2 linked regions of the Lepisosteus oculatus genome follow. The protein of the gene in region 1 purifies or fractionates together with the protein of each later gene. This does not show direct contact. Links are inferred from orthologs where the notes say so. Each region holds a gene or a part of one and is shown on either strand. Other genes may lie near its edges.

Evidence for each region.
Region 2: the proteins of elavl1a (region 1) and igf2bp1 purify together in Homo sapiens (co-immunoprecipitation; 3 studies listed by BioGRID and IntAct, with this or other methods). This does not show direct contact. The link is inferred for Lepisosteus oculatus from reciprocal best matches to the Homo sapiens genes ELAVL1 and IGF2BP1.

Annotation. Positions count from the first base shown.
Region 1 is NC_090724.1:1,296,514-1,312,607, reverse strand, and holds the start of elavl1a (ELAV-like protein 1a), read right to left. Parts: upstream 6,739-16,094; 5' UTR 6,586-6,738; intron 4,508-6,585; 5' UTR 4,386-4,507; coding exon 4,350-4,385; intron 631-4,349; coding exon 453-630; intron 1-452. Other genes in the region: tspan37 (tetraspanin 37), read right to left, coding at 11,236-11,322, 13,027-13,110, 13,809-13,961, 14,478-14,576, 15,142-15,216, 15,748-15,945. UniProt on the Homo sapiens protein: RNA-binding protein that binds to the 3'-UTR region of mRNAs and increases their stability.
Region 2 is NC_090723.1:9,504,246-9,520,483, reverse strand, and holds the start of igf2bp1 (insulin-like growth factor 2 mRNA-binding protein 1), read right to left. Parts: upstream 7,321-16,238; 5' UTR 6,749-7,320; coding exon 6,574-6,748; intron 5,146-6,573; coding exon 5,085-5,145; intron 1-5,084. UniProt on the Homo sapiens protein: RNA-binding factor that recruits target transcripts to cytoplasmic protein-RNA complexes (mRNPs). This transcript 'caging' into mRNPs allows mRNA transport and transient storage.

The sequences.
Region 1 (16,094 bases):
GCATTTTATAACATTTGGGTGCAAACAGGAAAAAAGAGTTGAGTCTTTAAGACGTACATCCAATAATCTGAGGGAACTTATACACTACCTCTATGAATGCACACACAAATGGAATGCAGCTCCATAACTAAGATTCTGAAGGTATGGATAAGTATTTCCATACAAAACACACACTGAGTTGCATACGAAAAGCAATAAAATAAAAGCACCTTCTTTGTGCCCATAGTGACTCAATGAAAACTAGCGTTTGCAATTTTTTTACAACTTTGTTTTTCAAGTAGGACTTGAAAAAACAGAGCTAAAAAAAAAAGTAGGATTTTCACTTAACTCACATATGAGCCAAGTTAATGGCACACTCACTCACTCAAAGACCGCTTGACAAGGTGATCTTGAATGGCCATGGAAGGCCTCCCTATCATTATGGACTCGCTCGTGTCTCTAATGAGGATTACCTGCCACTTTGTCGCGGATGAGCTTGGCGGACTCGACCTCCCCGATGCTGCTGAAAAGGCTACGCAGCTCATCCTGGGTCATGTTCTGGGGAAGGTAATTGACGATCAAGTTTGTTTTGGCATCCTTTGATTCATCTGCCATGTGGTCTTCGTAACCATTTGACATGTCATAAACTTCCTAGAAACGTGAAAGGCAAAGGGTTACATTTTAGTGCACTAGAAGCCGTGCACAAGCTCAGGAGTACTGTGAATAAAGATAAGGAAAACCAGCCCCTAACCATTTCATTTTTAAAAACAACAACAGTACTTTTAAAGAGAAAAGCTCAACCAAAAGCAATAAAATAAAACATGTTATATGTTATGTTAATACAAAAGAGGTGTATTGTATGACCATACTGCTGACACTATACTCACGCATCTTTCACTAGTTAAACCTCCAATGCAACATACACCACAATCTGCTGTAACAGACCACGTTGCTTTGATGTTTACAAGTAATTCCCCCATTTCTATTTTTACTCCATTATATCAAATGTGTCATTTCATTCAAGTACCACATCTTAAGATGAAATGCAAGAATACTGAAGTACAAAAAGCAGAAGCTCACATGGTAAACATGAAGAAAACTGCCCTCATTAATAGGTTAACAGGTAACTCTGGAAAATGAAGCAGATAACAGTGCTGCTTAACAAGAATAAGTTTATCAAATGACACAAATGCAAATTAAATTGAAAAGCAATGCTTAGTTGTTAGCAGTGATTCTAGGCTACATTTTTAAGGTAGACCACCTCTGACTAGAACACCGACTTAAAACCAAAGGTACCCAATTCTTCAACTCCTTCCCTGATGCTATGCTCATGCTGAAAACAGACATTGTGTAACAAACATGACTTAGAAGCACCTGTACTAAATGAAACTATACTGGTAACTTGCTAAGAATAAAATAAGCTCACTTCTGAAATAATAATGGTATTATCTAGGTGCATAAGTACGAATGGATGCATTCACAAGAGAGAATAATGACTTGCCCCACCAATTTTAAAATCATCTTACAGCCTCTGATTAAAATAAACAACAAATTATATTTCAATAGCATCACAAACAAGGAAAGAAACTGTGCTGCAGCTGACAACGTAACATTTCTACTGTCATAATATCCACTGAACAGATGCACTGTACTGAAAATCATATTCCAATTGATAAACCTGCACGTAGTATTTACAAATAAGGTTCAAACAATAACTATGATTCCCTGGTACACAAACCATTCTCTGGCACTTTTTCTCAAGCCAGAGAGCAAATAAGGGAAACAGGCCTTTTTGACCCCTGGTAAGCAGCTACCATAAAAAAGGCGCTTTTTACAAAAAAAAACGTTTCCTTCAATACTGTGGTCTGGGCACAAGTCTTGAGAGGTGTAGGCTATGTACTCAGCATGGGTTCACAAAGGGAACCAAAACTAGCTGGCATGTTTAATGCTTTGTTGCATGAATGATGTCAATGTTTAGAATAAAAAAAATACATCTTATAATGCTCTCAACCTGACTCACGTCTGCATTGAGAGTGCAATGGCAAGCTGTTCGAAATTCTGAATGAAACCCTGTGTTTCAAATATATGCAGCAGACCTAAGATTGCAAGAATGAGGACATTCATAAAGATCAGGGTTTCTGCTTTGCAGACATTGTTCTGTTTGCTGACGCTGCTTGCAGGACTAGACTACTGATTCAGAAAGTTTCTGCAAAATGTTCAAGTTTCCCCACTGACAAACACCTTATTGTCATTCTTGTGCAACACTGCATACTTAGCAGTTACTAGAGAAGGCTCTTTCATTATGTCCAAGCCCCGGAGCTGCTGGGGAGAATCAGCTGCAGCAAACTGAACTTGCTGAAACTCAACTGAAGGCCTTGCGAACTGAACTCGAGTCGCTAAGGGCAGGCCAGTGCTTTTCAGTCCTGGCCCTGGACCAGGATAAATGGGGGGCGGGGCAGTGGCTCTGCGCCTGTGGCTGGGAGGTTGCCGGTTCGAATCCCGCGGCCGGCAGAGAAATCCTCCTCCGTTGGCCCCCTGAGCAAGGCCCTTAACCCCAACTGCTCCAAGGCGCCGTATAAATGGCTGACCCTGCGCTCTGACCCCAGGCTGTGTCTTATGGAGAGCAAGTTGGGGCATGCAAAAAGACAAATTCATAATACAAGAAATTGCATATGGCCAATAATGTGATTTTCTAAATGAACATCCTCGATGATCAACACCACTGTGAGCTGAATGATTCCAAAATGCATTAAAAAAAAATGACACACCCTGAAAGAAAACTAGAGGAAAATCAACTTTCAGCAAGTTACACAATGCTGCCAATACTTTCAAATGTTACTGTGACTTTAAATCCCTCGGACATAAGTCATTAATGGAACATTAAAGGGCTTCTGGACACTACGTCATAAAGGTTTAGATATTAAACTAACCAGTGCAATTCCCCATCAATACAATTATCATGCACTACTTGTCTTCAAATATCCTGCAGCTCAGTTTTATATCAAGCTCAATCTGTGTACTCATTTCATGCCACAGAAGGATGGCACACTCAGGACACTACAGAGTATCTCCCTCACCACAAAAAAATCCTTACTCCTTCACACTATACTTGCCGTAAAATGTGCATGAGCTACACCTTGTGTAAAATAATTATATCAGGGGATTCTGACACAATATTCAAGCAATTTCTTTATGTAAAGCGTTGTGAGAGTGTAGATCAAGCCACTCAGCCTTGCTGTAGAAGACAACACCTAGACGCCTTTCAAGAAATGGTAGGATGAGATTCTTAGATCAACTAGCTACCAAATGAGCACCATTCATATTTTCACTACAACAGTAATATAGCAGGTCTTTTACCAAAAGATTCCTTATTCTTTATGTGCACTGTGAGAGAGTGTGATAAAACAGTGCAACATCACTCTCAGAAAGCCAAACATCTGAGAACACAGAACATTTTGTGACGAAAATGCTGAACAGCCCCTTTACCAGCTTTGCATTTTTTTCAGATTTTCTTAATTAAAACTGCAGTTTTGGAATGTGATAAAGCCGAGGAACAGCTTACTAACACTAATGTTACAAAGCTTTTTAATTGTAAGTGTACCGAAAGTGGGTAGCTTTACAACTTTCCACTTCCACCTGCTTTGACTTCAAGGCATTCCTTCACAACCTCACAGATTGCAGCTTTGCTCAATTGGCTCCTCAAACCACAGACAGCAATGGTCTGAACAACATCAGCAGAGTAAAACTTACTTATCTCACTACAGTCTAAACCCATTATGTATAGTATTATTCGTAAACATGATATCTTACAATACTTACAAAGAAATGTAAGCTGGTGTTAAAATGTTGTGACATGAAACTTTAAGAACAAGCCATATACAGTGCTTAACTGCTAAAGCTAATAATTAAGGGTTGGAGAACACAAAATGCCTTTAAAGAACTGATTTTTAAAACTTTTCAGTAAACTGGTTAATCCTTGCTCTGCAGTGTAATGGCCTGAAATTGCTCTAACTGAAATGCAGTGCAAGTTCCCTGCTTGCTGTACTGCCGGATGTGCAGGAAAATAGTAACAACCTTAAACTTGAAAGGGGGGTGGGGCTAACCCAAATTCATCACACTTGTCTATAAAATATTCAGCCAACCTACAAAGGTAGGCATACCTTCTTCAGCTTAACAGCACCTACACCAAGTTAGTCAAGTTTTAACTGTAAACAATTTTTTATACAATTTACAAGAAAAGGATAGTATAAGAAAGAAAAAATGGCAATAGAAAACTCACGTTAAAATATGTCCTGAAATATTTAGGGCATTATATCTGAATACAATACAGTTCTATACAAACTTTCTTAGTGTACAAATCTGCTACTCACTTTTAAGTATCTAATGTGGCCCCTTCTGACTGCCATGAAGACAATTCGCAGATCCCAAATCTGAAGGTATCAAAAAATAAAGTAATAAAAATATGCTGTGAAAAATGGGGTAAGGGAGGGAAAAAAACAGAAGGTGGTCAGCCCTTTTCAGGAAATACCTGTGGGGAAAAAAAACAGAAAAATGGTCAATTTTTCAGCATGTATTTTAACACATCACTTTCATTGTGCCTACAGATATTTTATTACTATACCCCTTCACAGAAATGCAGCTAGTTTTACATTAACTATAAACCCTTCATGGGAGACCTGTAGAAATGTTGGCAGACAATTTGGATTCTTACAATTTGTAAAACATAAAATGAGGGTGAAAATACCAAAGGGAAACAATCAATCTCTATTAATCTCTTAAACTGCTTTAATTCCAAAAACCCAATGCATGAAACAGATGTGTATACTATTAAATGACTTCTGTGTTAACATTTTCAGATTTCAACCAGTGGCTATACTCCTTGCTTCAGCAGTGGATTCCCAACATTTTTGCAAAAAAGGCACAACTGTTTTTCTCCATCTTACTTTCTGCAAAACCAACATACTTTGCGATGCATGCAAATAGCAACTATAGTTGTTTTGATTAAATTATTATGACTGAAGATATTTTACATATGTGAAAAATACTGTGGGCCCAGCGCATATCAATAAAGATCCAACCTGTAAAACAACCCTGGTAAAGGTCTATAAACCTGTTTTGTTTTTTACTTTATCACAATTCACTACACCATAAAACAAAAGTAAACTCAAAACTATACGATATTTAAAAAAAATAAGGATTTTATATGTTAAACATTCACATATGCACGCAAGACTCTTAAAAAGCATAGAAGCCAAGACTTTTTTTTTGGAGGGGAGGCAGCATTGCGAGAATAAATTGAGGTGCGTTTTCTGGCTTAAACAAGAGACACTCGCAAATCTGGTCGTGCAATTTTATCAACACCTGGGGGACCATGATTACAGACCTCAGCTACAAAAAGACAAGGTCCCGTTGAGTAACTAAAAACATAAACGCTCATTCGTGCTCGGGGAGACCTGAGCCTGGATGAAAAACGACTGGGTATCAGGGAATCTCACATTCACGGTGAACAGACCAGAGTCCCACCGAGGTGAGCGCACATTCTTCAACACTGCAATGCACTGCTGAAGACACAAACTACCAGGGTACACGTAGTTACAGTATTTAATTGGTAAAGACGCGACAGCACACCGGCATCGCATCAATACTGTGATCACGCCACAAATGCCGCTTCTCACACATGCAAACGCTGTCTGGGGGAAATCTGTCCAGGACTCTCCGCCGACAGACTCTGCAAACGAGCTAAGCGTTTCATTTTAGCGGCTTCACCGGCAACTAGCCTACGGGACCGCAGCGAAGGGCTTCAATTTATTCAGAAGAGGCCGTTCTCGGCTTCATCGCATCTGATTTTGAAACAGACCGCCCAACTGGGCGCAAGGACAGGAAAAAAAAGACACCAGGGAAAGAAAAGCCGCCTTTTAGCTTTCGGTAAAAATCAAAGATCTGGGGATGCAACCGAGTTTTATTTCCACACTAAGCTGCATGATTAATAAAATACTCGCCAAAGACCATTAAAAGACCATTAAAACTTTAACGAGTTTCTATACGACTTTTCTGCACCTCAGCTTATGGACAGATATGCAAATGACATTTTCGGAATGTAAATACAAAATCATTACGTGTGAGTATTTACGGCTAGTGCGCTGGTCGTTTCTAATCCAAGCCAAGTTGCAAAGCCCTTTTTTTAAAAACATATACGTGGAGAATTTAAGATATTCGTCACAGACTCATTCTGCTTTTCCCAGGCATAGGCTGGCAGCAGGCTGTGATGGTGGGGGGGCGTGAGTTTACAAGCACTTACACAACACAACGTAAAAGCAAAACAGAAAATAAAACATGAAAATTACCGTTAAACACAAAAACGTGCGAATTAAATAATGGTCTCTCATGCCCTCTTTCCTCACAGGCCCTAAATCCCCGCTGTTTCTTTACATCCACAGCGCCTTCTGCCTGCTTCCATTCCCGGTCTGAAAACCCCGCGCAGGCGGCGGCTACTCGGAGGGGCCTACGTAGGCCTCTCCTCGTCACCGCATGGCGACCCCCCGTTTTCATCCATAACCCCGTCATTTTCTACACACCGAGCCGTGGGGACGTTTCGAGGCGACTCACCTGCTTAACCGTAACTCCGACGCTGTTTTTATGGTAAAGAGCTCGACCCCGGCTCTGATGTCGACGTTGTTATTTCGAAGCTACGGCTCCTCCTGACACAATGAACACCAGGATCCGCGACCACTGCCGGCGAGAGACTGGACTTGCGCACGTCCCGCCCCCCGTCGTCCCCTATTAGACAATTCCCCTGTCACTCATTCCCGATGTGCACCTATATTGGCTATCTTATTTGTCACGGTCAAATACGTCAGGGAGCTCCCGCCTTCCTCGCATTGTGATTGGATGAGCGGTCTGTTTGTCCTAATAACGTCTAGTGCAATTGTCCCACGGTACCATCAATCACTTAAGATTACATTGTTTTTTTTTCACCCTCTATGTAGTTGCAGAGCTGCGGAGCGGCCCGTATACATTAACATCAGGGTTGGCTGGGTCTGTTTCAGTGATCGTCAAATAATGGGCGTTCAGGATTTATCGTATCTGCGTCCAAGGTCAGAAGCCTCCCAGTAAGGACACGAAAAGTGGAGAACGATTTTTTCCCCGTCAGCTCTGCAAACCGTGGCTATAACGGGGAATCGCGATACTGTAATGCGTTATAACCTACCCTGTATTTGCAAATGAGATCACCTGTCTTATTTTTTTCCCCGGGATGCAAAAAAAGCACGCCTCAAAATAAACTTAGTACCTCGTTGCTGGTGAGTTTTGCAACGTATCTGAGAAAAGAAAATCTAATGTTACGTGGGAATTCATAAATCTGGAGTCGTAGCTCGGTGGCGCAGCGCTGGGGCCCCAGCTTCAATTTCTGATGCACGGAGTTTTCCCAGAAGCCAATTAACCTACCAGTATGTCTTTGGAGTGTGGCAGGAATCCCATAGCAATATAGTGAGACCATACAAACTCCATGCAGACAGCAACCCAGCTCTGTTAAATCCCTCTTGTGCAGCTTCCGTTGTAATTGTCTGGCTCTTGCTAAGGTGTCCTTTAGGTACAGTAGGTGGTGAGGGGTAGGAGGGTAAATTGTTATACCATTGTCTTCTTAGTTTATTCTGTCACAAAAAGAAATCAGTGATAATCTTGTCAGCAGACATTTGTGAATGAAATATACCAGTAAAAAGAGTGGTCATTTTATCAACATTCAGTATTTGGAGTTAATTTGCATTTTTCGTGTAGCCTCCTTCAGTACCGATACCCGTGTAGCAGCTGTTTCCTCAGCTGATTTCTAGGGAGAAATTTCTAGTTTCCTCCCACTGTGCAGACATCCTGGTGGGTTATTTGCCAATGTGGGAAGACTGGCACCAGTGTGTGCCTTGTGCTGGACTGGCATCCTGTCCAGGGTGTACGCTGCCTTGTGCCTGTTGCTGCTGGAGACAGGCTTCAGCTCCTCTATGACCCTGGAATGGATTACGTTATTAGAAGAAGTTATACAGAAGTAGTTAGTATTGACAAGAGAACTGTATTTCTTTTCCAGAGTGTTGCAGAAAAAGCGTTCTGTATTGGAGTATCCGCACTCCCGTCTCATGGCTGTTATATCATTTTGAGCTCAACCATATTCACAGACAAAAGGCGTCACAAAAATGTAAAAATAAAATGAAGCCATGCTGTTACTTCCGCTTTACAAGGTGTGTCATACGCTTTGGTTCATAACGGCTGTAATCAAATTGCTTTACCGTGACCCCTCTGGTTTCCAAACCGGTTTCTGTGCCTCCAGCTCAGCCTGCTCGAGGCAACACACTCGGGATACTTCAGATTTCCTACCAGGAGGAATGAAACACCACGTCCAGACTGGCAGTTCACTTGCTAGGGAGCGTTCTTTCTTTTTTCGTTCCTGTCCGATGTGGAAACCTCCGGCGTGGTTCTCAGCTTGTTGTCCTGGCGCCTCTGTAGTTGCTCCTGCCTACGGGCTCCTGCCCCTCGACCCCTCTGCACAAGAGTGCCGAGACCCCACCTGTTCTCTCGCCAGCACCCGCACCCTGGTGGTCCTACCCTCTTCATGGCAGTACTGACAACGAAGCCTGATCTTCCTCTCTTTCCCACCTTCAGAGTCCAGTAGCCCCTTCTGCATCTCCTCCTGGAAGGTTTCATACCACCTTAAGGTCAGCTTCTCTCAACTGATCCTCTTTTACTCCTCTCCTGCCAACTGTCGTATCTCTATTCTATTTGAACCTTATACCCTCTCCTACTCGGGCACCAACAGAAAACACAGATCATCCTTGACTCCTTCCTCTCCTGTTCCCAACACTTTCTTTCCTATTCCTCAGCAAAATGCTCAGCTCTGGGCTCCAGGGTCTCTTCCAATCACACTACTGTAAGTCTCTTTGCTGGCCTAAATCCCTGCACTGGCTCCTTATTGCTGTTTGCATCCAGTTCTCTGCTCCCTCCTCTGCCTGCTGCTCTCTCCTGCCCCCAATCCCTGATCCTCCCTGCACACCCTCCCACATTCCCTCGGACCCGGATCACAGCAGTCTTTCCGCTCCTACTCTAGCTCTGGCCATGCAGCGGCAGGTGGTGCACTTCAGCAGTGGACTGTGTCCCTTCTTCTGTGTAATGTGCTTTGGGGATCCTTTGGGATGAAAAGCTGTTTTCTCAAATACAGTTACCCTTTCTGATAGATGGGCACTGCGATGACTCATCTGCACACGCTGTATTTGTTTCTGCATGTTATCTCCATGATGCTGATAAGCAGCACTCAGTGACAGTGACCATGTTACCAAACTAAACATTTATTCCTGGAAACATAGGAGTTCTCCCACTGCTGCAGACCTGGTCTCTGAGCAATAGTGATTGAATCCCAGCTGGGATTCAGTACTGCACCCATCACACTGCTGTCTTGTAGGTTTGCGAGTTGCTGTTTTACACCTTTTTGATTGGAGGGCAGCTCAGTGGTGCGGTGGCCAGCGTTGCTGCCTCACAGTGCTGGGGCCCTGGGTACAATTCCTGCGTCATCTCCATGATCTTCCCCTGGCCGAGTGATTTTCATCCAGGTCCCCTCCAGTCCATAGCTATGCTGGTAGGTTAACAGGCTCCTGTACAAAATTGGCCCTGGTGCAAGTGTGTGAGTGTGTGTGAGGGGCTTAACGGTTTGAAAACAGATTGATGTATTGATTGGATCTAACGGTTAGGTGCCCTGGCTGACTAATAAATGAAGCAACAGTTACAGGGACTTACTTAAGGCCCTTCCAGTACAACATTGCCTTCTCAAGGATCTGCAACAAATTTAACATTTTTAGAAAATAAAAGCAGGAACACATTGCAAATTCTGTGCCTTTAGTACTGGATTAGATAACTTTAATTAAGTGCCAAAAAGTGCATTTTTCCGCAAGCATTACCCTTTCATCAGGAAAATACAAGTACTCATTCAACAATTCGGCAAAAGGGTTACAATGCAATTTCCTATCTGAAAATAAAGAAAAAAAAATAATGAAACAAGAACATTCAAGACGACCCACAAGTCCCAGAAAAACCGTGGCGTTCGATAATGCTGGGACTGGGACTGAACGGCTTTAGTAGCCGTCATCTCATTTCTGGAAAACACAAACCTCATTTATTTTCTGGAGAAATCTCTCCTGCAAGTACAGCGTGAACCTAAGGGTTCCACTTCTCCCTCTGAAAGCTATACACTTGGTCCATCAGATAAACCCTTTCCAAGGTAATCAAGTCAAACCAGTATTAGTACTGCTTTCAACTTCTCTAACATCCCTGAGCAGAGAATTTCCTTTTCTGAAAGCAATAACAAGCCACCCTCCTTAGGAAGGTAGGAATCCGACTAAATACTCCAACTACTGTAATGCCCGATTATTTATGCACAGCATGTTGAGTTTATTCCAGGAGGAAGCAAGTAAGAAGACACTGTCCTACAGCTAACACTGCAACCACAAATGGAACACAGTCATGCAATTTTATGCAGCAGCTTAGTGTACTTAAAACCCGAGAAAAAAAAATATTACTTAAGGAGACCTAGAAGTTTGAGAAAAGGTTAACAGGCTGTCATAATTACAAAATACCTTTACAACAAGCAGCAAAGTGCTACACATGCCTTTCTCTGGGACCTTTTATTAAATTCTCCATTAGATTTTAAAAACCACAATCCACATACCAATTAATTCTGATTACTGGGAACCAGGCAGCATGCTGAAACAGGTGAGCTCCTCTTCAGTGCTACAAGTGTTTTCCTTTTGTGACCGAGGCGAAATGCTAGAAGTACACTACACATGGCAGAAAGAAAGGTGCCTGACCATCACTTCTAATGCACTTTTAAATAACAGCCATCAAACGCCGTTATCAACTGGTCACCCCCTCCACCAGTGGGGCTGTACAGAAAGATCCACATTGACCTCTGTAGCAAAAGACCATTCTGTACATAGTAAGTTTTTCTGTAAATCTCATTATGGGTGAGATTTTTTTAAATCCACAGATCAAAATAAACCTGTAGTAAATTAAATATACCAACATCTTTTTGTCCGGTGTGATGCTGTTCTCTGCGTGTTGCATGGTTCTGCAGGGTACAGGCCAGTCCCAGTCCTGGAGATCCACTCTGCCAAAGCCCTCACATGGCTTGCTAGGAGAACGTCCGTGAAAAACAAGGGTCAGAGCTCAGGTGTGATGGAAGAGCAGAGATCCTGTGGACATTCGGAGCTGCTGGTGGCTGTTCTTGCTCTAGGAGGAAGGGTCTCGGTCCAGGATCCGATACTCTTGCAGTGGGTATTCCTTCATCAGCTGGACCACGCTGGCAAGAGCCATCACCTGCCAATACAGAAGGCAGTGTTAACCGGGGATCGTAGAGGGATGTTTTCTTCCCCTCCTGCTGGTGCCTTCATTCAAGGAGGGATTAATGAAATATCTGAAATTTGGACAGTGAAACACTAACGTCACAGGCGATGTGTCCAGTTATGTAATGCAACATGCAAAATGATCTAACCAAGCAAACTCAGAGAAAACCAGAGGAGGGCCACCTCAGAACCTACTGAAACACTAAACAACACTATGGCAAAAATAAGTCTGATGAGCTGCGAGGACCAGCAGCAGTAAATGCAGAGTGATGGAGACAGGTAGCAATATGACAGAACAACAGTCTTGCACTGGATGTGTCCAGAAGCAGCGAGCCAAAGAGAAGTCCAATACAGGAGCTGCGCGAGAGAAATGAGAGAGTGGGTTCATGGCGAGAACAGCAGAGGGCAGACTGCAGCTGCAGGGAGGGTAGCATGTAGAGCTGCAATAACCCAACCTAGGACATTCAAGAAGGCCAAAAACCAGAATTTGAATAGAGGAGTTTGTTAACAATGGATATATCCTTTGAGGTCCCCAGATGAGGTAGCAGAGTTCAGGTGTCTTTGCAGATAAAAACTCCTAACAAAGAAGTACTGTAAATCCAAAATACAGGACAGTTCCAGGATTTTGATCTCGAGGCTAATCTGGAGAAAAGCTACCACCACTTCTCCAGCCTACACTATTCCAGTCTGAAGTCTCACACTGCAACACCTTAATACACCCAGTGAACAACTGCATACTTGTATGCTATTTACATACACATCCTGTCTCAATGGCCTCCTCTAGTGGCCTTGCACTGTCATTGCACCCCCTAACACAGCAATCTGCCACACCTGAAAGACATTTATAAAGGAGCAGTCGAAGGTGTTTGGAAAGAGCTGGGCAGAGAGTATAAATAAAGTCAGTCATGTTAGGGTACATAGTGTAGAGCTGTGTATACTGCATTGACCTCAGTATGTATAGTGTTGGTTGCAACACTATAAAAAGGACATAAATGCCCCAAAAAGAGCTTAAGAAGCAGAAACCAGACCAAAATGGAGCATCATACGAGGTTAAAAGAACTGAATTTCTTCAGTTTTGATAGCAGATGAGACTTTGTTTCAGGATCTTTAGTACAAGGGAATTTGAATTGTTAGGACATCCATATAAATTCAGTTTGCTTGTCTTAATGAGGGCTGTGGCAAAAGTCAAAAGTACTGTAGGCTTGAAATACTTTACAAAGAGTTAATTAATACTGAAACTGCGGCTTCATTTCTCTCATGCTAGCCGAGACGGGCTTTCATTTTATACAGCTAAAACAATGCAAATACAGCATCCCAAACACACCAGGTCAAAGTGGCTAAACAAGAAAGGTTCACTTGGTGACGCTTTTAAACATTATAATAGCAAAAATGATCTCAGAAATCAATCTAGAAGATAATGTAAATGGACACCACTTAACCATTCTAGATACATACCTTACTGCTTGTTAAATATCTACACAGTTTTAATAGTCAAGTTCTAAATTCTTAAACCAGGTAGGACATGTGAGTATTCTAGATGTGACAGAAAGAACGGGAACCTGGAATTTCAGAAGCCCTTTAGGCTTCGTGTTAGAAAATCCTGAACTAGACAACATTGGGATGCTACAAGAATTCATATAGTTTTGCACTGCACTCCTTAAGTTTCATTAGTACTGACCTGAATTATAGCTATCACAGCAGCAGAGATGAGGGTTACTTGCAGAATAAAGGTCAAAGCATCTTTAAGTTTCTCCTGGCAACCCTGAAAAAACAGGAAAGAACAAGAGTCTTTAGCCTTGGTCCAGCAGAGCCCCAATCCAATACAATTTATAGGTTACTATAAAGCTCCCATTTCACATGACTGGGGACATTTGCAAATTAATGGTCAAATAATAAAAACTCAAGGGAACTCTAGTCCCTCCAGGGCTGAAAGATATTCAGATTTTTGTTTTCAATCATCTCTAAATCATTAGTTTTAATTATTTAGTTTAACCAACTAGAAATTGTTCTATATCTTTTAATGGTTACCTTTTCCAGCTGGAATGGATCTGGTTTGGCGATTCCTGCTACTGAACTACAAAGCTATAAATCCTTCTGTCAGATCAGTTTTAAAGTAGATTTATTAATCAAGAATAAATGAACTGGAGCTACAACTGCCAAATAACACTTGTTTTGCACAATTAACTGTGTCAAAGCATTTTCAAATCATAATCTTGGATCTTTGATGGTCATCTCATAAGAATGACAAGTAGTTTGACATGTGTAGCAGTGCTAACAGAGCTAGAGCTCCCCCACAGTAAACCAAGTGAGAATGTAGTGGGATGCGGTGGTATCAATACAGGCAGCTCACAGGACATCGAAACAGGAGCCCCTAGCGCACACTCCCCTTGCGCTGGATAATTAGTCAAAGATTACCCCAGCAGAGTCCCGGGGTCTCCCGGGTCCCGCAGGGGGCAGTACCTGGGGGTACAGGAGCTCCGGCTGGTGGACGCTGCCGCTGCAGTTGTGGGAGGTGGAGTTGCAGCAGCTCAGAGGAACCTGAAGGGAGCCGCTGTGGTTAAACCAGGGAGTCGCCAGCCAGTCCTGGAATCCCCGCACCCCGCAGCAGCGCAGCTGCAGACAGAGCGCGGCCGGGCGTTAGCGTCTGCTCCGCTCGCCGCACCTTTTAACTGGAACCAGCCCTGCAAATACTGGACTAGCCTACAGGCAGCTCAGAACAAGGTCCAGTCCCGTGCAAGGACACCACTCCCCTACACTGCACTGAAAGCAGCAAACAGCATCTGTGCATCCTGATGAGCACATTCTGACTACATGGAATACATTGAATATTCAAGTATGATAAAAATGTAACCTGTTGCAATCCAACATGATGCTGTATGATGAAACTGCACATTTACAAACCAGACTGTTGAGGGCTGCTACAGCAGTCAAAGCCCTGTTGCAGGGGGTTCCCACTGTAGCCATCTGTCTGTATTTTAGGCTCCCTCTAGCAGGAACACGGAGGGGTGTTTGTGTGAGGTAGGGAAAAGTCTTTAGATTGTTACTCTATCGTGGTTGTGAAAAACAAGTAATTTGGCCACAAATAAAGGAAGTGAGCTCTAAAATAAACAGCTCCCACCCAATGACTACCTCCTTCTGGAGTGAATCCACAGCATGGTCAGCAGGGTCTTGGCTGCTGCCGTTGTAGCTCTCAAAGACACTCTGGAGAGGAGCCAGCTCTGAATCAACCTAGAGGAGGTCCAGGAAGAGAGGTCACTCGTCTGTGCTTCCTGACCTTCAAGTACTGGAACAAGCAAGAATGGCAAAGGACTGGTGCTGCTGTAAACCCATTTCAAAACCTTCCAGAGTCACACGCCACAGCCTGTTCAGACTGCCGCTGCTGCCAGCCAACATCTTGTCTTAATATACAAGTACAAATGTTACATTCTAATATACAAAGGTTAATGCGCAGTACATACAGGTATAGGCACCTTCATATTTTAGATCCTGCTTGCTAATCACTTCATTAAGGATCTGGCTGTAGCAAGAGACGTGTGCTGGCGATTAAAGTGAATCTTTTGGGGAAGGGATTCCCCTACTACTGGTGCAGCATGAAAGGCCACAGTGTGTGCTGTTGTAAGATTGGTCCAGCATCACTTTAACAGAGAGAATCAGGGGTATTTGTCTCCTTAACCCCACTGCCCCGTCACCCAACATCTCCGCCAGTTCCCCACTTTTTCACCCTCCCTAATTGACATGGTGACATCAGGAACATATATTAAAAAAAAAACAATGAAAGCTCCAGCTACTGTACCTGCCCTGACTTGGAGTAGGCGAAAGCCGCTGTTGTCGCCACCAGGCAGAAAACGATGATGAGGAAGTACACAAACTGCAGGGCCAGAGAAAGACAAAGCAAAATGAGAGCAAAATCAAGTTGTATCAGTGTCTCTCATGGAAGCTCCGACAAGAAAGATGAGCAACTACTTCACTGATAAGGCATACGGGAGACGCAAGAACACCCATAAGCGATCCCCAAGCCACTTGACACGGCCTGAACAAAGAACTGGCAGCATTACACCAAGCCAGTGTGCCAAGTTGGTAGACGTACTGAAAAAGACTTATGACAGTAAATGCTGCCAAAAGGTGCTTCCACCAAATACCGAGATCAGAGGTCTGAATAAATATGCTTAATACTAACCGACACATTCCAGTTTTTTCTCTTCAGGGTTTTTCTGACATTTAATATAACTTAACATGCCCTTAAAGGGTCTTCAGTCTATGTGTTCAGGACTGGAATAAAATATAAAGTCTAGACAGATGTGAAGTCACAGACCGATGCACACACATGGGTGTGAAGAGCTTGGCCCCCTTGTCTCCCAGTCTAACATCATGAGGCACGGCGTTCCAGGCTTGTACTTACGATACCCTGGAGACATGGGGAGTCCTTGCTGGACACCCTGCAGCCAACAACTCCAGAGAGGACCAGAAAACTGGCAGCCAGGATGGCCAGGATGGTGGGGAAGAGGATGGTGGGGAAGACATCCTGGAAGAACAGCGAGCAGTATTTATACCTGACGAGGAGGTAGGCGCTGCTGATGCCCACCAACAATCCCGCGAGCTGCAAGAAACACAGAACACAAAATGAACCAAATGCCTGTGAGACATGATTTAATACAGAACGCATTACAGAAAGGACTGGTGGATAAAGACTGTCCGTCTGTGCTGCTGAGGCCAGTTTGTCCAGGTCGTTCAGGAAACACACGGCTG
Region 2 (16,238 bases), on another chromosome or scaffold:
AAGGCACATTTCCTATTTTCCTATTTAAAAAAAAAAACAAGTCTTGCAAGCAACACTATCAAGATTCGAATCCTACACACACGCTTCCTCTCTCCACAAGCACACCTTCTTCCTCGGCATGCCTGCGTCTCGAACACAGCCCCTTCGGGCGGCAACTGCATTCAAAAACCACAGCCCAACTTCTACACAACCCCCTGACACAACCGCGCGGAGCCACTCCTCCTTCCATTAAAAAGCTAAGAGCCAAGACATTGCAACAGTCTTCCATCGAGGGAGGGACAGACTTCATACAGCGACTTACCTTTTCAACTAGAAGAGAGACTGCTTAGGGCACAACCAAATCAAAGCAGATTTATGTACATTTAATTGCATTGCAGTGCAGCACATGGCTAATTAATGACTTCTGCACACTTACTGAAAAAATATCAGCCATTAAGGGTCATGTTAGATGGTTGGGGGCAAACCACCGCCGTTACGACATGCTTTCAGCACACAGATGCCTTTGCAGTACATCGGCGCACATGTGAAGAGGCCAGATCGGGAGAACTCCACACTGGAGCTCGAACCGCAAACCAAGAAAACCGGGAACTGAAACATCGAACGGGTAAGATTCCGAACAACAACACAGGCACGGGTTTCGAACGATAAAAAAAACGAGTGATACAAAACACAGGGTATCTCCACGGTGCTCCACGATTTATCATCACTGGGCCGGATGACTCCTGGTGCATGCATTCCAAAGAGTCATCTAGCACAGCCCAAGTGACCACCTCTTGTTTAAAGCCCACAAGCCCAGGCAGGCACCTCAAGGTGAACGAACACCCTGCGCAAACAGAGAACACCCCCCCCAGCCGCCCAGCGGCCTCTGCTCACCAGGCAGCCTGGCAGAGGGGTGCAGATTCTACCTAGCTATGCCAATTCCTCTTCACCAGCATCACAGGAGGCTGCTCACTCACGCCTCCCGAGTGGAGAGGTGCGGTGCAGATATTTTAAATTTTGGATGGGCAGTGCGTTTACTCCGCATCGGGGGTCACTTGGCTTTGAACCCGCGCCAGAGCTCGGCACAGGCTGGGCACGCTCCCACACCTATCCGCCTCCTCGACCCCAGCCGCTACAAAAAATCAACACCCCAATGGCACGCATCTTGAACCCAGCTCCTTCCCGAGCAGGAAGAGCCCAAGCGCAGGGGGGCGACAGTGCAGCACACAGCTGGACAGACGACGGGGAAGACCACAACAGCCTCATTTCCACACCCCCCTTCCCCAAATTCATACCCAGCGATAGATCACTGGGGCTTCTACTGATTAAACCTCCCTGAAGGTTCAGGATATTCGTAGGCAAGAAAAATATTAAGATGATGGAGAGTCTTGACACCAGCATGGCAAGTGAATTAAAACCGTCCGGAATAATCAGTTTTAACACTGTTCCGACAACACACAAACACTGGAAATTTACTAGACTAGGGGTCTGTGTTCTTTCTTTACAGCAGAACCGTGAGCTTATTCTGTCCTGGCAACTTCCTAAAATTAACATAAGGGATCACCCATGGATGTCTGTAAACACCAACCAATTTCTCATCAAATAAAGGTGACTTCTTTTGATCAATGAAACTATAAGCTTAGAACCGCTGTCTTAAACAATGCATGACTAAGACACCTCTATTAATATTGTTAGCATTTTAAAATAAAGCATAGGTTGAGAACAGGTATTTCAAGTGCTAGGCAGAAATGGCTTCAGTTCCTCTTGACATTTACATTTGTGGTGTTGATGACGGAAGATGTCTGCAGGTACATTTCGACTGGATTCCTTGTCAAAAGCTAACTCACCAAATCCTGTCCTGCCAGTGTGAGGTCACAATCCCCTCTGTGACATCACAATGACCCGCAGCCCCGCCTGGCGACACAAGGATGTGTGGCCCATTGTGCGAGATAATAGTTTTACAACCGAACCTCCAACACTCCAGCAACAAACAGATCTACCCAAACAAGAGGCAAACGGGAACATAGCATTCAAACCAATTTTTCGCCACCCTGACCCGTTTCACGTAAATGTTTCCGTTCGGCTTTTGTCTCGTTTTTTACCACGATTTCCATCTTTTGAAAAAGTCCTGATTAAAACCGACAAAGGCCACATTCTTCTCACCCCCAAGGAGAGCAAATTCACCACAGTTTGTCAGGAAGTGTATAGGAAGTGCTTTAATAACATGAAAAGCCCTAACATACCAAGTCACATGTAGAGATGGCAGAAGAAACAGGGCCTGTTCACAACTGCATTCCTATCCCAAATAGGATCCGAGTGTTACGCCAGCATCTCAGTCAGGCCCTGCCTGAATTTCACCACAATGCAATGACACCCATCTTCACAAACAAAAACAAATCACACGTTTGAACTAAAAGTGAATCAGCCTGTTAAAAACTATTTGTGTAATATGTACTAAATCACCTATATACATGTGCATTCTCTCTCCTTAGCCATTTGTGTATGGAAACCTCTTTTTATAAACTCCCTCCTACAAACATTAGCCTTCTTAAACACTTTCAAGAAAATATTTTTTTTCCCAAACCATATCTTGCAACCAAACTGGGAAAAAAAAGCCTAGGAAATTTTCGAGCAGTCTTGTAGACCTGGGAAGGTTATTTTCACTACTCCTCTAGGGACAGCTTCAAAGATCTTCCTGAAATAATACACTGCCCATAAGAACAGTTTTCCCCTCACACAAAGCAGACTGTCGCCTTAAAATTGAAGAGTGTGAAATCTCACAATTCTGTTGTAAATACTTTTTCGTCTGCAGGAATTAAGATAGGTGCACGGGATCTACGTCGCCGTATATATGCCTTATAAGAGGAGTAGCCATGTCGTTACAAACCAGACCCGAGAGACGCCATTATTTTGTGGCGAGTGACGTAAGCGGGCCCTGTACTGCGAGAGAAGCACGTGTTTGGAGTCAAGATCTTTTTGTCCCTTCTTTTAAAAAATATTAAAGTTGAAAGTTTTGTTGTTGTTATTTGGTTCATTTCTTTTACCCCTTGAAGGCTTTTGATGAAATACGTGCATATTTATCGTCAGCCACCACAATGATAGTTTAACTGACGCATGGAATTAATTAAAATACATTACAAATTTGTAGGGAATGAAAAGGCAAAGGCGCACACTCCCCTCGCTATAATAATGTTATTGCCTGAAATTGCAAAACATGTTGCTCTGCTGCTGCTGGAAAATTACTTTTTTTCCCTCTTAAATAAAGTTTTGGACTCTTTCGCTTCGGCCTATAATTCAGATCAATGTAAAAAGGAAGACATTGCACGTCGAACACGTATTTCTCTTCGCTGATCATAAACAGGTTTCCATAGCGCGTATACAGAAATCGATTATTGCCACTGCTGACAATAATTCTCCCAATAAGGCGGAACAGACCTGTCTGATTCAGACTACGCCATCCGCGTGGCTTTTATTTTAAATCCAGAAAGATTAAACTCCCTTTTTTATCCTAAAAGCCTCCATTTTGATTTTTTTTTTAAAAAAAAAACAAACTTGCGCTCTGTTCGGTAAAATGTTCAATGAAATGCTAACAGGCCGGGGACGACATTCTAAAAATAACAATTTAAACAAAACCACCACGAACCCCCACGCCAGTCTTGCGGCCTGGTTCGGTGTGTTCGAACCACACAATGGGCCCGGTCAGTGGCCGAGCGGTCCGGTTCTTGTGGTCCTGGCCGGACCAGAACGTCGTGCTAAGGGACAGGAGGGGTCCTGATCCCCAGTGGGTCACCCCCCTAACCCCACCACCCCACGTTTGGGGAAATATGCGCTTGGGGGCTGGGGAGTGGCTGAGGCCAGCTTTGTAAAAACTTGTTTTGAACACATTTTAAAATTGGGGAGACAGAGGGGAAGAACACCTTTATGTTCTACTGAGCAGTTCAGTATTTTACAGACCCAAGAATTGCACATTTGTACTCCAACCGCGCACCTCCCCCGGAACCAACACATCCACACAAACTCCAGCGACTGTACTGGGCGCCTCGATTATTTTTGTTTAAGCGCTTTCAGAAAACAAGCTGGAGAGGGGAGTTTTAAAATGTGTAGCTGTTAAAACGGCAAACGTCTTCGAACTGAGAAAGTGTCCTACAGACGACTTCTGCGTTCAGGGGGGCAGTTAATGCACAGAAAGATACTGTAGCCGAGAAGCCAAGATGAAGATTTTAACGTTTCACTAGCACAATGCCAAAACAAAGGGCACCGCTTGAAAGAATGTTTCTACTCCACACAAAAGGCACGGAAGATACTCCCCAACAACATTTATTACCGTTTTCCAGCCCCAAGTATCTAGGTGATGAAGTTAAGTTGTATTTAATATTAATAAAACCTCGCCAATTATTTCCTAACAAACAAATGCATACTTTTTTTTAAAAAAAGCGAAACATTTCAATGTAAAAAAACTTTAGCAAATTTGCGTGAAATAATTTAGTAACCAATTTTACAGATGCATAATCTTCGTTCGCAAACACACCAGGTTTCTCGAAGCCCAGGTAAATTAAAAAAAAAACAACTAAAAGCACAACACCGCCTCACTAACCTTCATGACCAGTAGGCCTTAAACTCAAAACCTGCAACTACAACCAAGACATTCTGATCAGAGCTGTTCACTAGCAAGCAGTCCCAGATTCTCAAAAAAAAAGACATTTTCTCCTCTTTTTACGTGCATGAATTTCAAGATGGCGAGAGAATGAATTGAAATTTTAGCAAACACTAAATTTCGTGCAATTGACTTTCAGGGTGTTCTTTTAGTGAAAATGTATTTCTGATTCGAATCGAAAGCAATCCGTCATTTTTTTATGGGGAGGGGGGAGGGAGGGTAAATTACGACTAGTCTTTCCAGCCTAAATTAAAGTTTGGCGTGGAGAGGGAGTTGGACTTGAAAACAGGCCCAATTCGAGAACTAACAGTGAGGAGGGAATTCGTCACCCTACGAGATCGGATCCCTTCTTCATTGCACACCACTGAATGCAACCACACAAAACTCATTCCAGGCCACCCGGAGCTCAAGAAAACTCGACACCCCCAAATAATTCGAATACCCGAAGTACCTTTGCTTCTTGGGCACAGAATGTTCGACTTCCATGCGCTTTCCGTGCAACTCCACTTTACCTGAAAAACAAATACAGTCGTGTTTGCATTAACGTCCCCCTTCTGTGTACCGTCCGAGCAGTTTGATTTTTTTTTGTTTGTGGGGATGTTAACGCATTTTCGTTCTTGTCTCGTCACGGCTGGCTTTCACAAAATGGAAAGAGTTTCCTAGCTGCTGCAGTTAGAAAGTTGTTGTTTGTTTTTTTTTTAATTGAGGAAAGATCCGAATGGGTCCCAGTTCCGCAACCCTGACGTGGTAGTTCAAAGATACGTTTTTTTTTAAAAAATAAAAAGGGTACAACTTCATACACTGGGTACTCGATGTAAGGGAAAAAAATTGTTACAGGCACGGAAGGTGACATATCAACACACCTAAACATCTGCACGGCGCCTTTCCTCTCTGTAGTCGTGCCCCAAGCTGTAATGGTCTTCGTTATAGAAATTACTGGGCAGCGGCACGACTAGGGGAACTTTTACAGCTTTTGTCTTGTTGGGGTGTTGCTAACTTTTTTTCACCCCGCTTTTCTGCGGGGTCACAAGTTTCCCCGGTTCTCTCGGCGTGGAGCCGTTTAACTATGACGAAGGAAAACAGTCGCCCGCCGTGTTCTCGTAGCGCGACTATAGCTGAAGCGCAAGCAGCATGGCGACCTTCGCGCTATAGGGAACATCACATGCTATAGGGGGTAATGTACAAAATCAGGAAAATTGATTCTTTAAAAAAGGAAGGACCGAAAAACTCGCGGACGATTCGCCTATCGCCTGTGACCGTACAACGGTCCCTTCTCTCCGGTTATTCGAGAATCACCTCTCGCTTCTTTAAATCCATAAGGCATGTTTGACCTAATCACTGGCTATTTTTGTACAAACAAATTCAATTCCTCTTATCTATAATGGCCTATCATGACAAAAGGGGGAGGGGATCGTGTTCGTATAGCTAAACCCTTATATACAGACCAGAGCAATGCCACCCCTCGGGAGTTCTCTCGGGGACTGGATTCCCAATTAACGTTTTTTTTTAAATTAAAAATAAGAGGTCCAGGCATGCCTGCCTTAAATAATAAAAGATATCAATAGCAACCTGTTTCACTGGGACACATACCTTGTAAGGCACCAGTTTGCCACAGACCATTTTTAAACTCTGCTGCCGATTCGACTCACCCCGTTTAAAAGTTATCTTTCGGCCAGGTTTTAAAACACCTCCCACACGGAATTAAACGGAATGACCGAAATCTGTTGGTTTTCAATCAGATAATCCCCCTCCCCCCGACACCCCTCTCCTCTGCAAACAAACTCAGTGGATTCCGAAATTGGAGTGAGAGAAATTCACGGAGTACGCGTTTTTTTTTTAATCCACATCCCCTCCAAAAAAAAAAACTCACACTTCGTTGTAAATTGTTTAAATACACCGCTCTGGTTAAAGAAAGGGCTCGTTACTTTTAAAGAGCTTACCAGAGAACGTTTCGATCGCCTTCATCGCCCAGTGGTCATCTGGACAGTCCACAAACGCGTAGCCAGTTTTCAATAGAAACTGCCCAGAGAAAGGGATCTTGCAGTCCTCAAAGACTTTCACCAAGTCCTCCGAAGTCACGTTTTCACTCAGATTTCCAATATACAGCTTGTTCATGGTGGTGAAAAACACAACTGTTACCGGTCCCCCAGGAGAAAAAAAAAAGAAATAGTTTTTTTAAAAAAAAAAACCCACAAAAAAAACCAAGGACCCGAAATTAAAATTGGAACCAAAAAACAAAACAAAACGGAAGGACGAAGAGGGAGAGTGGCTACTCGGAACGAAGGAGAAAATAAAACGGCGCCTCGAAATTAAAATTAAAAAGAAATCGGGGTGAATGGGTGGGAGAGAAAAAAAAAGTTGTGGGCGAAGTGGGGTCGCCGCGACCGGGAGCTGCCGAATTCGGATTCGCCGAGCGAAAGCGGAGACGTCGAGACTGCGGCGCCGCGGATCTCCAAGTGAATCGCACGCACTCTCGGCGAACTGGACTGGGGAGAAGATTGTTGCACAGGCGGCGATGGTGCTGTCGGCGGCAGCAGCGATAGTAACAGTGCGATGGCGCGATCAGGGGGGAAAAATTGCTCCTCTCTCTCTCTCTGCCCCTAAACCTCGAGTTATACCCCCGCACCGTCACAGATCCTTCTGCCTAGCTGTGGCACCGCCTCTAAAACCCGACCTGAAAAAAAAAAATTGCCTCAATTTTTTTTTCTTCTTGTGTGTGTGTGTGTTTGCAAAGAGGAAACCACGTGGTCTCGGAGTAACGAGAGCGAGGGCCGGCCCCTCGCGGATGGGTGCGCGAGACAGCCCGGGCCTTCGTGCTCTGCGCTGATGTTGCCGAGGGCGCGCGCATGTCACGGTGTGTGTCCGTCTGTGGAGGCGGGCGCGAGCACGGGGAGGGGGGAGCGCGGGGTCGCGCCGGCGGGCGAGTGGGTGTCTGTGTGCACACCCCCCCGCGCCATCGCGGGTCAGCTCGACACACCCGCTTTGGGGCACCAGCGATGGCGATGGGCGCTCATCAGCGCTAGAATGAATCATTTAATCGCCCTCTCGGTCGCTTGGACACGCACACCCAGCTCGAGCCCCCTGCCGCTGGGGTTATTGTATCTACAGGGGGGAGGTCGGCGAGCGAGGCGGTTGGGGGGTAAATTGTGACCCCGTGATCCCGTCAGCCTGGTGTCCCTGCCTGAGCGGTATAGACCATAAAGGCGGGCCGCCCGGGAGGTTCCCCAGCAGACAACGTCGAGAAGGGCGGTGGTTTTGCGAAACGCCAAGCCGAGAGGGTGGCCATTTCGTTGGCACAGAGCCTTGGCGAGCCCGTCCCGGGCAGGCGCGGCGCAAAACGAATTCTAGAAGCGTTCTAGAAGAGGAGGGGGGTCGGGGCGCGCTGCGCGGGCGGGCCGCTCCCACTCCCCCCAGTGTCGGCTACACGCGGGGCTGGAGACCCGGAGACGGGCAGAGCGCGAGTCGGAAAGCGGCGCCCGCACCCCGCAGCACGCGCGAACACAGCGCCGAATCGCCCCCCCTCCCCCGTGCCGCCGCCCTCCTCATCCACTGAGCTGTTGCAGGCCCGCGTGTATCGTGTAACCACGACAGGACGGCAAGCAGCACGACTCTCTCTCCCTGGTTTCTGTTTCTTGTTTCAAAATGGTGCTGCCAGGCACTAGGCCTCCAAGCGCAGTAGCTGCCGCCGGGAGCGGAAAGGCTGTAGCGCTCTGTAACAAACACGTTTCGTTGGGATCTCTTCTCCCAACCCCCTTTAAATAAACATTTACCAGACCTATATGGTGTAAAAGAGAACACCGTTCTTCGAGTAACGCGTTATCCCCACAGAAAAATAAACGCAATTCATGGGCCACCCTAAATGTAGTGAAACTGTGACCAGTCGAAATACAAAATCGTCTTTCACAAGTTAGTTCTTTGTAACCTTTGAAATCGATCCCTCATGCTGCTTTTTAGCACGCGAAAACCCGCACACAATGCACTTACTGACTGAGATCTTTAATAAATATACACAAAGTCTGACCACCCCCCTAAAATCAACGTCAGGGGAAACGGGAATGCTCAAGTGAATTCGGTCGAGGTGGAGGTGGGGCGTGGGGCGTTCCACGCACACGGAGGAAATCGAGTTACACGTATCGCGTCCGAGTTGTCTTTTTTTTTTCTTGCAACAGTTCTGTATTCCAGACGGGTACTTGTTCGTTACTTGTAACACGCGTTGTGGGCAGATTCAGCTGGCTGCGACAGCTGCATGATGCAAGATCGCAGCGAGTTTTCTCTTATTGAATTAAATTTACTGGGTCACAGATAGGGGCCCCAGCCTCTGGACTCCGGACTAGAGGGTTGCGGGTTCATATCCCACGTGGACCGCTGTTGCTGTGACTTTGAGCAAGACAGTTCGCTCAGATAGCGGCGGTAAACGCCGTGCTCTATAAATAAATCTCCGGGTCATTGTTGCAAAAGCGAATTTGTTCTCGATTGGCTCATATGGTTAAATAAAGATCAAATTAAAGTTATTCTGCAGTAGTTGTCCAGCCTTCTTTTGACAGTCAATTAAACCTATGAGCTGTAATCAAGCCGAGATATAAAATAATCTAAAAATAATTATCTGCGGGCATTTTACAGTTTTTGATTAAAATGCTTGTGTTTTCCTAAAACACTAAGGGGCAGTTAAGCTGCGCGAATAAACGAGACTGGCACATACACACAAATCCAAACTTCTTTCTTTGGGGGGGAATGTAAATGGTAATACTTTGTTTAGTGGCTTTTTATTTTTTGCAAATCAATTACAGTTTGAAATCAACACATCTTAGCCAAAGCAAAAATCTATGCCATGAAAAAAAATATTTCCAATAACATCTCAAACGATATTGCAGTCTTTTATATTCTGTTTCTAATTGCATTACATTATAAATGAGAACAAATCAGAAAAAGATCTGTTCTACACAAGTAGTGTAATTGAAATACACGATCTCCCCCCTGCAGCGAAAAGCTTTACCGGTTTTGTGCTCATTGTATCCGCGTCATTTTTCCTGCTGAAGGAATGGAAGAGTGGGCGCTGTCAGGTACCCCTCTTCCTGCAGCCTGGACAGGAGACAGCCCCTCTGTCGCTATGAGGCCGTTCTTACTGATGCTGGTTTCACCTGCCCTGGCTTGAACCCTCAGCCGAGAGGTGGCTCTGTGGCTCAGGATCTGTGCCTGTGGCTGGAAGGTTACCAGTTCAAATCCCGTGGCCCCCAGAGGACTCCAACTCTGTTGGGCCCCTGAGCAAGGCCCTGAACCCCAACTGCTCCAGGTGCTGTATAATTGCTGACCCTGTGCTCTGACCCCAAACTTCTCTCTCCCTGTCTGTATGTCTCAGGGAGAGCAAGCTGGGGTATGTGAAAAGACAAATTCCTAATGCAAGAAATTGCAGAGGGTTAATAAATTGATGTTGTTATTATTATTATTAACCTCAGGGCTTCCCGTGAAGCAGGGAGACAGAGGCTTAAAAAGAAATGCAGTGCCCATTTGTCAAAGATGAAGGTGACCCAGTGGGAGAGTAGCCGAATAACACCAGCGCCCACCTGGACAGAGACCCGCTGCGTCAGCCCTGTTGGCGGCCCGGGCTGGGAGACTGGCAGGGGCCAGAGGCCTCTGTCTGGAAGAGCCCAGCCAGAGCTGGACTCTCGTCCCCAGGTCACTCGCTGGCTCCAGTCGGCCCTTCCTGTTCCCTGCCGGAGAGGAGAGTGTCCGCGCAGGACGGACGCTACCTGGCTGACCACACAGCCTCACGGGCCTTTCAAAAAAACAGCATGCTAACCAAAGCTGTCTTTCACGCATTTTTTTAATTATAAAAGCAAACAGAGCTACTGGTTTAGGAGGGTGGGAGGGCTGGTGGAAAGTGCTAAAAGTCACCCTTTGACAAAAACCGCACAAATAAATAATTGATTTCTGCTCGGGGCCTTTCCAAGCCTCTCCCAGACTGTATCAGTTGATCTGTGTGCACATTTTATTGTCCCTCAGGTGCGTCTTACTACTGGGGAGAAGCTGAAAAAGTCTAATCCCGTTCAGAACAGGCGAGCTCAGCGCGGTGGAGGAGAGGGCCCTGCTGGAACAGGGAAGGGCTTGGACACACAGCCGGAGCGTCTTGACCGCCCGGCCCTCAGCCCTGGAAGATCTCCAAGTCCAGGAAAAGATCTCAGACCTGCCCTGCTCCCAGACAGGATGAGCAGCACGTTTCCAACAGAGCACACCGTCCTCATGCAGCGTCATACACCTGGAATCTGTTCGTCGAGGATGAAGACAGGTGTCCGTGACTCATGTTCATCTCTGCACACATTCCTTCGCAAAGGTAGACCAGCACTGTGCAAATGTACATGAATTACATCACTAGACCTTAACAACACCCATTCATCCAAGCCAGTGGTATCTGATGCCCCCTCTGCACACTCATTCATCCACTCTGGCTGTGCAAAGGGACATAATCTACAATTAGGGAAAGTTTAAAACACACAATTAGTTCTGACTAATTATTGTCATTAAGATGTAGGATGGTCGTTTCCTCTGTTTCACACACACACACACTCACTCTGCAGGTCGTATGAAGTAAGGCGTGGCTTTTCAAAAATAAAAACCAAAGTATGGTGTGAAGTAATGAGCTTATTATGCTTACTCCCTCTCCCATCATGCGGGAGATTGCAGAGACAAACTGTGTTCATGTTTGAACAAAACATCCTAGCGTGCACCAGGCTCTAGGCACCATGGTAACGTGTTTTGGTGAACAGGGACTGGATGAAGTTAGAAGGCTGCTTCACATGGAGGTCTTTAACATGGAGGTGTATTTGAAAGATAGAAGCAGCACGGCATCGGTAATTGAGCTTTCTTATACGTGCTGTGGTCTTCGCTGTGCTGAACCCTAAACTGGGGGGGGGGGGGGGGGGACAGTGGAGGGCTGGGGGGACACACTGCAGCTGCCCTGGGCTGAAATTCAGAACCAGTTCTGCACGGGCCAAGTTTCACAGCAAACGGACCCAGGATTATTGCATGAAAAAGAAAGAAGAGAATTCGGTCGGCACTCTGCTCCCTGCAGTCCACTCTCCTTCAGCGATATTGCAACCACGAGACGGACTGCAATGTTTCTTTTCCGATACATTTTCTGAAGCTGATCCCAGTCTGTTTGGTCGGAAAGCCACGCAGGCAGGGAAGCAGAAGAGGGTGTTTTTTTTCACATACAACCTGGGTTTAATCCGGTTACCCCCTTCAGTGCAAGGACCTAAAAGGATAAAAGCTCTGAAATCAGATGGCATGCTGAGTGTCGCCTGAAGAGCACCATCACTATAGACATTGTATTGGTCTGCAAAAAAAAACAACAACCATAAACATGGTTAGCTGATGGGCAATTTTCAAAACATGTGATCTCACAAAACTACCATTAAAACCACTGGACAAAGCAGCACTTGACATGTGCATTCAATTTGCCCCAGCACAACCAAAACACACCCCCAGGTCTGTGCATGTTCAATAGTTTGCAGTAGAACATGCTGATGGAACTTCCTGCTCCTTTGCTTCATGATGTTTTTAAAATGAGTAAAAACCTTCGGCACTTCCTTTTATTTTTTAAGGACAGTGGACTGTACTTCATCTAATACATGTAAATGAAGATTAAACCAAATATTTGTATTTGCATAAATGTATTATGTACAGTACTTCAGGTCTTCAGCTGCGAGAATCACATTTAAAAATCTTCACTGTTACCGTTAAACAAAATGAAAAGGAGCTGTCTTGAAGATATGGCACACCTGAGGAGAAATTGACATAGATTCTCAAATTCTTATCTGAACGAAAACAATTTCACATTTGTAAGGTGTCTGCAGACTGACTGCAGGAGAAAGCTGTTTCTTTCATTTCTCAAGGTAACACTTGACTATTGGTAAAGTCTGATCTTAAATTCTTGAAGGTCACGCAGAAAAAAAAAACGTCTGAAAGAGACCTATTTTCTGGTTAATTTTTAATGTTGAACAGACAGTGCATTTAATTTCTGACTGAAAAATATATATTTTCTTGCAGAATAACAGTTCAGTGGATGTGATAGACAGAATTACACCACAGCACAAAAGGGATTTAACTTATAATTACTAACATGTTACTTGTGTAGGATCATCTTTAGAAAAGATGTGGTCCTTGCAGATTTAATTCATTATCCATTCCCCCTTCACAAAACCTCTCATTAATCATACAACCATGTATGAAATAATAAGACACTGTCACCAGTAGAAACAAACAAGGGACACAGCTGACTTTTAAGTAGCTCTTTAAGACCTCTGAATTGCACCTAACCTGAAAAAGAAATATCCAGGTTGCCTACAAGCAAACAGTTTTTGTCAGGACGTTTTACATCAATCAATGTTCTATGAAGGAGCATGAGCTTCAGATTTAAAGAGCTTTTGATTTTGTTCAGACGTCTCTTATCTCATCTCTCTGTCTGAGTACATAACTGCACATAGTAAGCAGTCTGCCATATATTTCTCAACAGTCATGTTTTGTTTATTTGTGTGTGTTTGTTTGCAAGGCAGTTTGCCAGACTTTTACAGCGTGATCCTTTGTGTTTTTCAAAGCAGTTCAAAGATGCCAAAGTGCCCAGCCATTTAAGTGACAAGCCTTCAAACCAGATTAGCAGTGTGTGAGCTCCTGACTGCTGCCTCAACAGGAACATTAAATAATCTTCCCAGTTAAAGGCTGCTCTTAATCCAGATTAATTAATCCCGAATGCAAAATTTAAAACGCCAATGCTGTCAGGTCCTGCAAGAAGGTGTCGTTCTGTAAACCGATGCACGTGCTATATTGAAGCCACAAGTATGGAACTAAAATTGGTTTGTGGCTTTTAGAGCTGCTTGGGAAATCATCAGAACCGATTTACATAGTCTCACACCCGGAAAAAGCTTTCGTTATGAGGTTCCCCTCCCGACAGTAAGGAGAAACATCACTTGATCGGCTCGGGCGACAAGTGTGTCTGCAGACTGCTTCCTCTGCTCCTGCGTCCGGGGATGGGTGAGCTGCTGAGACAGAGAGGGTTCAATCAATCTTTATTGACAGAAACACAAAATCCAGAGTTTAGATCTTGATTCCTAGAACCCTACCTTAAGAATTAGGAAAATAATTAGGAATATCCATCTATCACGGTTTACAATCTTACACAGGACGTTTTCGACACGCCAACGCTGGTCAAAAGTTCCGAGGTCGTGAGGGGATTTATAAAACATGAATTCTAACGATATCCTGCTCTTCGCCAACCCTTCAAACATCCTCCCCAAGTCTGCAGAACCGGAACCGGAGATCTTATTTTTCCGAGCGTGAGCTACTGAGAGGCAGAGGAAGAGTGAGGCGACAGGCACGGGGAGGCGTGTTGAGTGTGTGCGTGTGTGTGGGTGAACAAGTTGGTGTATCATGGGAGAGAATGATCTTATATAAAGCGTCTCTCGTGAACATGAGGCATCTTGACTTTGCAGGCACTCTGGATGTATTGACTAGTTGGATCCACTTCATTTTATAACTGTTTACTCTTTTCAAGAAATGAATGTAGGCACAGGTGCTCAGTTTTTCCATCTGAACATCTCCCACTCATTTGCAATTAAGACCCTGCTTTTGCATGTTTTTCCCTTTGTGAACTGAATTCCACCATCATGTTTTACAAAACGTACACCACAATATCTACACACATGATTGCAGGTAAGTACCTTTTTTTTCCCCACCAATATGGTGTGAAATGTAACATGTATCTATGATCTTAACAAATCATGTTTAAGAACTGTTCATCTCACTCGTTTTTTTTTAAGATGCCTCAATAAAATTTAGTTTTGTTTAGAAACTTTAATTACGATGTAAACACTGTCTTAAAAATGAGTTATTTCTCCCTCCATACTTCATGTTTAAGACAGCTGCATTAATGCTGAGACTTCCAGCACATTCCTGTAACAGCATTCCTAAAAATCCCTTCTCTTCTTTGTGAGATTTTAACAAAAAATCTTCTGTTTTAGATTTTATCCTGCAACTTTCTTATTTTATTTGGGTTTAAACATTTTGTTTCCGTACTATAATAGTTTAATACAATCTAATAAGTCAATATATATTTTTTAAAAAGATACATCTATTGTATGATTTTAATTGTGGGAGTTTCATTGTATAATGCTGAAACGAACGACAAATGAAAATGCATTTAACACATCAATGTGTCCATTTGCTTTCTAAATCACAAAATCTTAGATTTGTCTGCATCTTGTAGAAACAGGGGACTTCAGAGTAAAATGTACATCATTTCTGCGAATGCAGATACTTATGTGGACGACAAAAAGAAGATTACGTCACCTGATCAGCCACAGCGGTCGATTTGACAACACAGGTTAACCAAAGCCTAAAAAATAAAATCAAAAGACGTGAATTAAAACGCAATTCCTACATGTGGTTGCACGCACAAATAGAGTATTTTTTCTCACATTGCAGGGCTACAAGCGGCCAGTTATCAGAAAAGCACAACACGGAAGCAGGATGCTCCTGAAAGCATGTTACTGGTGTCCGGGAATGCTGCAGGGCCGAGTGGTGTCCGGAACCCGTAGGCCCGGGGCTCGCGATCCGGGGTGCGCGCTGGCCGGGGGGTTCGGGACCAGTGCGGGTCTCCTCACTCCGGACACACCGGCTGGACAGCGGACTGGTCCGGATAGCCACCGGCCGAGGCGGACAGGAGTCAGACTTTCAGACCAACCTTAACTACATGTTCCTGCTGGTCTTTTCCCTTAAGTTTCTAGATTCTCGACACACACACACGTGCCTCGACGTCTTGTTGCCCAACTGTTCAAAACCTTAAATCAAATTTCTCAAAAGATTTAAAAAAATAAAATAAAAATGTAATTGCCTTCATTTTTCTTATAGATGAATGAAGTGACACCATTTTGTAGCGGAGTCTTTTTTTTTTTTACGAGCAAGACAAAAACAAGCTTTCTGAACTCGACACGGGGCACTATGTAAGCTTAAAACGTGCTGGGTGTTGATATTAGAATTTAAATCGATTAAAAAACAATTGCACATAAAAGTTTTTTTTTAATGGTATGCAGTTCCTGCCCCCCCCCCCCCCAACAAACAGCAACACATTCTGCTCCTGAAAACCGCCGTGAACGCGCGCAAGCGCACAACACCCACCCTGAAGTATGGCGCGCGCGCACGCATTCCACTGAAATGTACATATCTCGTGCACGACATAAGAAATCGGAGATAAAAACAGAATGGGTTTAAAACCCGTCAAGAAAAAAAAATCGTTTTAATGATAAAAGAGGGTATACTAATAATACCCTACAAACAATAAATGAACTTGATTTTCCAATTCCCCCATGTAGCCGTGAATTTAAATTTTAATTAAAAATAAATATTTAGAAAGCGCTATTTCAAGCCTCGCATCTGCAGGCGCTATACAGGACAACAAATGAGAACACAAAAGCAGAAAAAAAATGAAAATGCAACAAAAAGGTGAGTTAAAAAGATTGCTCCGAGACCATATCTGTTGTCGAGTTTTTAAAAGTTATTTTCCTTACGGACACGGGCAAATCCACAGTTTATGTGCACGGAAGGGGGTCGGTCCCCT